Arabidopsis thaliana: one gene and its partners. The protein of the gene in region 1 interacts with the protein of each later gene in a pairwise test. Each region holds a gene or a part of one and is shown on either strand. Other genes may lie near its edges. The genes, in order: AT1G48195, CRF8 and WRKY43.

Region 1 (2,990 bases):
TAGGCTAGATTGGTGGGGTTGATAAAGAAAACCTGACGCACGTATTGAATTCAAAGAGAAATGGGGTTAGAATCGATATGATTTAGAGTGTAACATGAAGGGAAATAGATATGAACATGATTAGAAGCCGCCTTTCGGAGATTAGCTGTGTGTTCACTAACTGGTTTTATGTTCTTTCTTCCAGGTGACACAGCCAAGGAAGATTCTAAAGTGTCCACTCCCAAGATCATGATATGAGAGGTTGTTAAATTTTTGGTAGGTTCATTTCACTTCAAATTATTCACTCGGCTAAAGTAAAGATTAGCATTTAGTCTCATCATTTGCATAAATTGCACTTGTAAACTAGTTTGGCATCTATTGTCTGTTGTTGTGATCTTTTTTTTTTGTACCTCCTGGTATGGACAAAGCTCCTAAAATAAGGTAAGACCCTCCTTTGGGTTGATTCTTAAGGCTTTCACTATGTACCATTAGTCCAAAATTTGGAGACGACAAAGCCTTGTTTGTTGGGTAAACTTGAAAAGAAAAATCCAATTTTGTTACATGAAATGAAAATTTGATACCATGGTGATTAACTTGATCCTTAGATTAATAACATCCTTTCATACATATAAAGAGTAAATAAAACATAGATATTAGAATATTATTGAAAATAAACACGAGATAAGGAATATCAGTTTCAAATTTATCATTTGCAAGTTGAGGATGATGGTTAGGTAAAATGGTCGAATTTACAAGTCGGACCGGATCTGCAAATGCCGAAGCGACTGTAATGCGGGCAAATGGCTTGACCAGGTCTTAATGGTAAGCCCTTGTCATTGAGAGTACATTGAGGCTCGCTCGGCGTTATATTCTTCGGGTGATGGTATTTGCAGTTTTGTTTCAGATAACAGTTTCCAGTTCTAAGATAATAGCTGCACTCTGGTTCGCCTGGACGTTCTGGGAATTTTTCTTCAGACATATTTTCTCTTCTCCTAGTATTATATTGTTTGCATGTACTTGTATATCTCTTCTACCTATAATCTATATATATTACCAGAAGAAAATCTAGCATTGAATACTAAAATGACATGTTTTGAAGAAAGATAGTATCATCTTTAATATTTATTGTTTTAGTTATAATTGTATTTAAACAAAATTATAATATCATGATGCTATATTTATATTTTTTCATTTAATTATTACTTAATTAATATTTAGTGGATTTTATTTTGCTAATATTTTAGATAAATACATTTTAATCATATAAATCTTCTTAACATAAACTACATGTGACATAAGTCGTTTTCTTAAAATTAGATTATTATTATTTTGACAGCAAAAACTCCACCTTTTTTTTTGAATATTTAAAAAAACTCCACCTTTATTAAGCATGTTCCTAAAATTAAAATATAAAAGTAATGAATACAAAAGTTAAATATGAAAATCACTAATAATGTAATCGGAGGCCGGATCGATCTGGTGACCCAATCACAAAACTTGTGAACCATTATTCGATCAATCAATGTACCGTGTGAGCCAAGGCTCTTTATTTCTAACCTAAGAATTTTCAGATTTAGGTTTTGAGGCCTATTAAGATTAAATGAACGGTATTTTGGTAAATGATAACTATATCTAAATTGATCGATCCCTAGACAACTCTCTCAAGAAGAAGTAGAAGAAATCAAAAGTTTGATCAAACCCTATGATAGAAAATGACGACGACAACGCAACTGGCACTTCCCTATGATTTGCTATTGGGCTGCATTGCACACGTCTTCTAGATTGTACTATCCTAATCTTTCCTTAGTCTCCAAGAGCTTTCGATCTCTCGTAACTTCACCGGAGCTTTACAAGACCCGCTCTCTCCTAGGCCACGCCGAGAGCTGTCTCTATTTGTGCTTACGGTTCCCTCCTGACACTAATCTAACCCTCGTTGGTACACTCTCTGCCAAATACCTAACCGAATGAAGAAGAATAATTCAAGTGGCAAAATTTACGTCCCAATCCTAATCCAACCATCTCCCACTTCTCCTCCTCCACAATCGCATTCCTCGAATCATATGGTTACCGTTGTAAGATGTACAAAATTGGCGGGGATGTGCCTTCTTCTTCTAGAGTCTCTGTCTTGGATTGGAAGTCTCACACATAGAACCAAACTTTAAGCATGCGGGTGGACCGGAGCTCCTCTTCCTCCACTGTAAGTCTACTTGAGGGGAAGATATATGTAGCAGGAGGTTGTGAAGATCGCAATTCTGTGGACTGGGTTTAAGGGTTTGATCCAAAGACTCACACTTGGAGCTCTGTGACTAGCCCTAGCGCGGTGATACGGAATGAAAGTGTAGCTGAACACAAAAGCTTGGGACTTGGTGGAAAATTCTACCTCTTTGGTTATGACTCAGATAAGTCTGCGGTGGTTTACAATCCCAAAGAAGGTAGATGGAACCCGGTAGGATTATATATTAATATAAGTAATGAAGTGTACTATAGTTGTTTTGTTGTGTGATAGACAACGTCTTGTTCTATAGGTTTCACGGACTCTTCCATTGGTATGACTATAAGGGAAACTTTTGGAAGCAAGTGAATGGTCTTGGGCCAGGTAAAGATGAAGACCAATACTAAAGCGACGTCATCTAAGGCACAACGGTCATCTTCAAAAAAGTTGGAAGAAAACGACGAAACAAAAACATAGCAAGGAGGTGATGAAAGTTGCTTGTACGGAGAAAGTAGCGATTCTCGCAGCCCTCGATACGTTTGACAACGCAAGATGATGACATCTGTCCTCTCTCTAGGGTTTTTTCGATTAACCCATTCTCTTGTCTATAAATACTACAATGTTCTACCGATTCCTTTTAGCTTCCTTTGCGTTACTACTCTGCTTCCTCTGCTTGTGAGTTTCCCTTTGTAAGTGCGATTAGTGTTACATTTTAGGTTTTTTTCTCTAAGTTAGGATTTTGTTTTGCTTTGTTACGGTTTTTGCCTTTCAGTGTGTGATTAGTGAACAAATGAGGAGC
Region 2 (3,382 bases), 9.0 Mb from region 1:
ACAAAATTTTCTCTGTTTTGTTTTTTTATTCATTTTGATATCAAAAATCTTCCTCTTTAAGGTATCAAAAGATTTGTTCAAAAAAGAAAAATCTTCTTGTTTATCATGTGAAGTTTGTGAACCAATCAAAATTTATCTTCAGATCCTTTTTTTTTTCAATTTCATAATCGTAAGTCAAAAGAAAATATCTGTTTGCTTTTTTTCTAACGCACTTGTGTTTCCTCAAACTTATTATTTTTAAACTCATGTGCACGTACATGTAAACATTCATTTCCTCTCTTTTTCTTTTTTTTCTTGTCAAAACATTCATTTCCTCTTTAGTCACTACTATTATCGAAAACATTCATTTCCTCTTTAGTCATTACTATTATAGTATTATAGAAGATCATATATATCATGTGTATGATGAAGTCTCTTGGTTTAGCTGATCTCTTCATGTTCTTTATTACTTTCTTTATCTCCAAACCCCTCACCCATGGCCATCAGTCTTCAACAAGTCAAAGTAAATTGATAAATTCAGTATTTTTCATTAGACACCCCAAAGTATAAAAATGTATCGTTGATACGGTGATACAAGAACCAAAAGATGGAAAGATATATAAAGAATTTTCAACTTTTCATCAACCATCAAAATATAACTCTGATCCAAGTCATTAACGTTCAATTTGGTTAGAGTTCTGTTCTATTATGTGTTGATCCATAAATGGTAAAAAGATTGAATAGTATACAAATAAAAAGAGCCTATTTCAACCCAAACTTTTCTTTCCTAAACGTTTTAAAAATTCAAAAAAATTTGTACCTTAAAATTTGTGTGTAAATCAAAATATAGTTCATTTCTCGAGTTTCATATATATACATAGACGAAAGACATCAAGATCATACACAACATCAGAAGATGAATTTACAAAATACGAGAGAGACCTTCTTGCTAATGCTAACAACTAAATTACCAACCCCACTTCACGCGCCTCTAGCAACCTCAGAAGCTCCAATCACCGTCTTATCCTCTTGATTCTCCGCCGGCAAACCAAAATTGGTCGGCGCGTGAGGTCCAATCAGCTTAATTGAAGCGTTATCATAAGCTAGAGCAGCTTCCTCAGCAGTGTTAAAAGTACCCAGCCAGAGACGATCACGTCGTCCTTTACAAGCTCCTCTTCCACATCTGATCTCCGCCACCCACTTCCCCCACGGCCTCTGCCTCACTCCACGATATTTCTTCTCCGTTTTCGCCGTCTTGAGAAATTCCGCCGGGATCCTGATTTTGAACCGTGTTTTGCAGACATCGAGTTTATCGGCGGAATCGGAAGGATCGATTACGATCTCTTTAACGAGGCGTTTCCCACGGCGCCGAGTCTGGGATGCTCCTCCACGCTCCTCCGTGTCTTCGTCGCTAGAAGAATCGGTGGCTTCTGCGTCGGTGAATGAGATTCTGATAATACGCTTCATAGTGAATTTGCGGAAATTAGGGTTCCGTCTTCGTCTCCATTAAAAGGAAAGCATTTGAGAGAAAGAATATGTTTTTATTCTTTCAGAATCTCTTTTTCTGATGCTTTTCATCTTTACTTATTTACTTCTCTATTTTTTTCTAACCAATCCTATGTGGGCCGTATGGGCCTCAGAGCTGAAAATGCAGTAAAATCCATGAAATTTCTCAACATGGCTTGAAGCCCATCTTCTAAAGGAAAAAACGCTTTACTCTTTTTTCCTTCATCTATGTAATAAGAAGCAGAAATTTAGGAATAAGTTTGAAACTTTAATCACACATAAGAGTAAGTGCAAAAACATGAACAATGTTCTTGCCTTCCGTGTCAATTTTGTATATATATATATATATATATATATATATATATATGTGTGTCAGTATATAATCTCCTTTTATATGATTATAAACTCATTTGTCCCATGTCTTCTTCTTCTTCAATGGACTTACTCATGTGTCTGCTTCTTCTAATCTCTCCGGTTGTTCTGGCCAAGTCTTCTTCCACCGTCCCTGCTATCTTTACCTTCGGTGACTCTATTTTTGACGCCGGAAACAACCATTACAACAAAAACTGTACCGCTCAGGCTGATTTTCCTCCTTATGGTTCTTCCTTTTTCCACCGTCCTACTGGGAGGTTCACCAACGGAAGAACCGTCGCTGACTTCATCTGTAACAAATTACCTCCCAACTCGTTAACTAAAACATTTCTTCTTCTGCAAGGAACCTTACTTTTGTCTCTTTTTTCTTTTCTTGACGCAATAATTGCAGCGGAATTTGTAGGCCTTCCATTACAGAAACCATTCTTGGAATTGCAGATTCAAATCTTGAATGGAACTTCAAACTTTTCAAATGGCATTAACTTTGCTAGTGCTGGTAGTGGTCTCTTGCTTGATACCAACAAATTTATGGTAAATATCTACCTTGACCAAATAAAATGTTTGTTTCTTGTGAATCACTCATTAAGTACACATATCAAATGTAGGGCGTGACACCGATCCAAACCCAGCTACAGCAATTCCAGACACTTGTAGAGCAAAACCTTATCGAAAAATCTATAATCCAAGAGTCTCTCTTCTTATTAGAAACTGGTTCTAACGACATCTTCAACTACTTCCTCCCATTCCGAGCTCCTACACTTTCTCCAGACGCTTATGTGAACGCAATGTTAGACCAAGTGAACAAAACGATTGATCAGATCTACAAACTAGGCGCACGCCGCATCGCTTTCTTCTCCTTAGGTCCTGTAGGTTGTGTCCCTGCAAGAGCCATGCTTCCTAATGCCCCAACCAATAAATGCTTTGGTAAGATGAATGTTATGGCCAAGATGTATAATAAAAGACTTGAAGATATAGTGAACATAATCCCCACTAAGTACCCTGGAGCCATTGCGGTGTTTGGAGCTGTATATGGTATCACTCACAGATTTCAAACCTACCCTGCCCGTTACGGTAAACTCAATATAGTTAATTAACTTCCATCTTTGAGATCTTTTTCAAATGTGTCTATGAGAAAGCTGAATCATGTTTTTGGTGAAGGGTTTTCGGATGTTTCAAACGCGTGTTGTGGGAACGGTACACTGGGAGGATTGATGCAGTGTGGAAGAGAAGGATACAAGATTTGCAATAACCCAAATGAGTTTCTGTTTTGGGATTTTTATCATCCCACAGAACACACTTACCGTCTCATGTCAAAAGCTTTATGGAATGGAAACAAAAACCATATCAGACCATTTAATCTCATGGCTCTTGCCACCAACAAGATCACATTTTAATACTTATATCTCCCTTGTATATAGAATTCATAATGAGTTTGTATCTGAATTAAGACTCGAAATCATTGTGAAAACAAAAGCCAGAAAGTGAAACTTCGCTCCACTTCTGGTCTCTTCTTCCTCTTCTACTG
Region 3 (3,313 bases), on another chromosome or scaffold:
ACAATAATTGTGTCAGGATTTTACCTTGGCATGATGTGGATGTTGCATCATACCAAGAAGATCATGGTAAACTAGCACCTGCATTTCCAAGAAAACAATTAACAGGTATGAGAAATGCAAATTTGTCTCTTGGCTACACACAAAACCGGAAAGAACGAAACTTTTCAAATAAAACCTGTCCACTGCAGAAAGGTCCAGCCCCAATGCCAATGGTTGGTATCTTGAGGGCAGAAGTTGCAGCAGCAGCTACAGGAGGTGGAACGCATTCCAAAACAACCGAAAAACATCCAGCTTCTTGTAAAGCCATTGCAGTCTCAACAACTTTAACAGCACTAGCTATGTTTCTGCCTTGGGGTCTGAAACCACCAAGAACGCTAATCGCCTGAGGGGTTAGACCCACATGACCAATAACCGCAATTCCTGCTTCAACTATAGCTTTTGCAGCAGTGATCCTAGAAGCTGATCCTCCTTCGAGCTTAATCGCATCCATTCCTCCTTCCTTCAAAACCCTAACCGCAGTATCAACCGCCTGAAGCCAACATTTAAACCCAAAATCAGGTCCCTAATTTGTTTCATTGACACAAAATCTTGTAAAGAATCTACTTTGCATAAGCAAGTACTAAAGCTAAATCTGTGATTACACAGGCAATGACACATTGACACATAATGTATCATTTAAGACTTTTTTTATCAAGAATCCAATCACCTAAACATTTGATCAGGAAATGAATTGAACATTGTAAGTCCCACTGAGTGTTGTGATTAATTCAGGTATTGAAATTGCAATCAAGAATCTAATTACCTACACAAAAATTAAGCAGAAGAACATGCCTTATCAACAAATATGTTTAATTTAGGTATCTAGAAGAAAAAAAGATTCAATTTTATAACATTACCTGACTAGAGCTTGACTCGTAGGTACCAAATGGCAAGTCACCAACTAGGAGAGGTCGTTTAGCGCCTCGAGCAACGGCACGACAATGAACAAGCATCTCGTCTAAGGAGATAGGAAGTGTTGTGTCGTGACCATGAACAACCATGGAAGCTGAGTCACCGACAAGACAAACATCGATACCAGCTGTGTCTAAATGAACGGCGGATGGGTAATCGTAGGCAGTTACGACGGTGATCGGTTCTCCTCTCCGGTGTTTTTGTCTGAGATGCGTTAGCGTCACTCTTTGGTTTGGGTTTTGTGGCTTTGGTCCTCCGTAGACGGTGTTTTCCGGTAGGTTACTCATGAAACGGACAGAGATGGCTTTTGAGAAGCGAGAGCAATTCCTAGTGAGTGAGGACGCCATTGTTGTGAAGATGAAGAAACCCTCTTATCTGTGACTGTGTCTGTGTTTACAAGAACAAGGAATTTTACTTTTAAGAAGATTCAATTCCTAGTGAGTGAGGACGCTGTTTAGATTCTGGCAAGTGGCGATTCAGTTCTGGGTTTCACACACAAATCAAGCATAGCAATGACACTGTTAGGAATTGTGATAGCTTAACTATAAATTCAATATTTTAACGAAATCAACAAGATCCGTTGTAGTCTAGCTGGTCAGGATACTCGGCTCTCACCCGAGAGACCCGGGTTCGAGTCCCGGCAACGGAGATAGTTTTAAAATATCTTTACTATATTAAACCGGATTTTGGTTCAGTCTGGTTATGTTAACCCAGTCTCTGTTTCTCTCTAGGCTCTAGCCTAACCCAGTCTCTGTTTCGATCTTATTGAACTTCTGTTCCAAAGGCGATTCCTTTTTTATTTTTCCGTTTCTGGGTTTAGATAGAGAAATGTAGAGATTGAGATCGCGGTTACTAGTTGGAACTCTCTTGGAGTTGGAGAGCATCCGAGGGTTCTGCACGAGCTCCTTTAAGATCGTAGCTTCGGTTCTTTTTTATGAGATTGCGCATTGTGATACCAAAACCGGATTCTACTGTTTACAGTTTCCAGGAGTTCAAGTAAAGACCAAACCATGTCTCTGTTTTTTAAGTCACACACGTGTGAGATGACGTGAAGGAATTTTTTGTTGTTGTTGGTCTGAAGTAGTTGAATGTAGTTGGCTTCTAAACCTTTTTATATATCTCTTCAATATAAATCACACGAAGAATTCTAACACACAATTCGTTGATTCATCATATCTCCTCTTCATTAATGAATGGCCTCGTCGACTCTTCTCGAGATAAGAAGATGAAAAATCCGCGATTTTCGTTTCGCACAAAGAGTGATGCAGATATTCTCGATGATGGTTATCGATGGAGAAAGTACGGTCAGAAATCCGTCAAGAACAGCTTGTATCCCAGGTAAACTTTTTAACATAAATAATCTGAAATTGTTTTTAAAAAGATTGTTTTTTTGTGTGTTTCTTCTCACTTATGATCATCAAAAGGAGCTATTATAGATGCACACAACACATGTGTAACGTGAAGAAGCAAGTTCAGAGGCTGTCGAAGGAGACGAGCATTGTGGAGACAACTTATGAAGGAATCCATAACCATCCTTGTGAGGAGCTCATGCAAACCCTAACTCCTCTTCTTCATCAATTGCAGTTCCTCTCTAAGTTCACCTAATTATGTTTGTATATATATTAACGTTCTAAGAGCATCTCCAATGGAAGTATCTCAATGAGATACCTAACAAAAGAAAAAAAATTAAAAAAAAAATATGAGAGAAGGGAGAAAAAGTAGGAGAGAAGGAGAGTTAAATTTCTCGGATGATTGGACAGGTGTAATCACACTATTAGTTCAACTATTAAATAATAATTAATGTATCTGTTTTGATTAAAATATTAATTAATATGTTTTTGAGAAACTTTCTTTATTTTTACTGGTGGAGATGGTCTAATGTTCCATGGTTCATATAACGGAGCAAATTAAAGCATTGTAATCATATATGTTTGCATGTTCATAGTTGCAATCTCGTTTTGATTATAAATCAGTTTTAAGCATATAACCAAAATAAAAAAACAAATCAATTGTAATATTCCGGTAAAACGATTACCACGTGATGATTATAGAGAGGCATAGAGCAATATCGTCTGGTAAACTGAATAAAACCGGATTTGGTTTCCATAGATTTTTCTCAAGCCAAATCAGTTTCCTTTCGTTTGAATAAACCTATTGGCTTATCGTGAGTGATTATTGTTTTGTTTATTTACACGATGAACAATGTCAATGAGACATGTCACATGTACGAAGTCAGTTCCGATATATTACATGAATTGCTTTCAAGTTTTGATCAGCATCCTTAAATAGTCACCGAAAATAAGAAGCGAACAAGTCTTGGCGAAGTTGAAGCCACAAAGTGTACTAATAAATATGGATTGCC

Evidence for each region.
Region 2: the proteins of AT1G48195 (region 1) and CRF8 interact in a two-hybrid assay, tested with the Arabidopsis thaliana proteins (one large-scale study listed by BioGRID).
Region 3: the proteins of AT1G48195 (region 1) and WRKY43 interact in a two-hybrid assay, tested with the Arabidopsis thaliana proteins (one large-scale study listed by BioGRID).

The regions. Positions count from the first base shown.
Region 1 is NC_003070.9:17,794,317-17,797,306, reverse strand, and holds AT1G48195 (Zinc finger C-x8-C-x5-C-x3-H type family protein), read right to left. Parts: upstream 973-2,990; 5' UTR 959-972; coding exon 710-958; 3' UTR 523-709; downstream 1-522. Other genes in the region: AT1G48200 (uncharacterized protein), read left to right, coding at 185-237; AT1G48190 (Galactose oxidase/kelch repeat superfamily protein), read left to right, coding at 2,144-2,213, 2,250-2,411, 2,486-2,575, 2,686-2,747.
Region 2 is NC_003070.9:26,820,941-26,824,322, reverse strand, and holds CRF8 (Integrase-type DNA-binding superfamily protein), read right to left. Parts: upstream 1,807-3,382; 5' UTR 1,447-1,806; coding exon 961-1,446; 3' UTR 652-960; downstream 1-651. Other genes in the region: GLIP6 (GDSL-motif lipase/hydrolase 6), read left to right, coding at 1,903-2,149, 2,249-2,388, 2,463-2,928, 3,016-3,251.
Region 3 is NC_003071.7:18,955,114-18,958,426, forward strand, and holds WRKY43 (WRKY DNA-binding protein 43), read left to right. Parts: upstream 1-2,098; 5' UTR 2,099-2,140; coding exon 2,141-2,289; intron 2,290-2,375; coding exon 2,376-2,556; 3' UTR 2,557-2,812; downstream 2,813-3,313. Other genes in the region: KPHMT1 (ketopantoate hydroxymethyltransferase 1), read right to left, coding at 25-78, 176-529, 897-1,298. UniProt on the Arabidopsis thaliana protein: Transcription factor. Interacts specifically with the W box (5'-(T)TGAC[CT]-3'), a frequently occurring elicitor-responsive cis-acting element.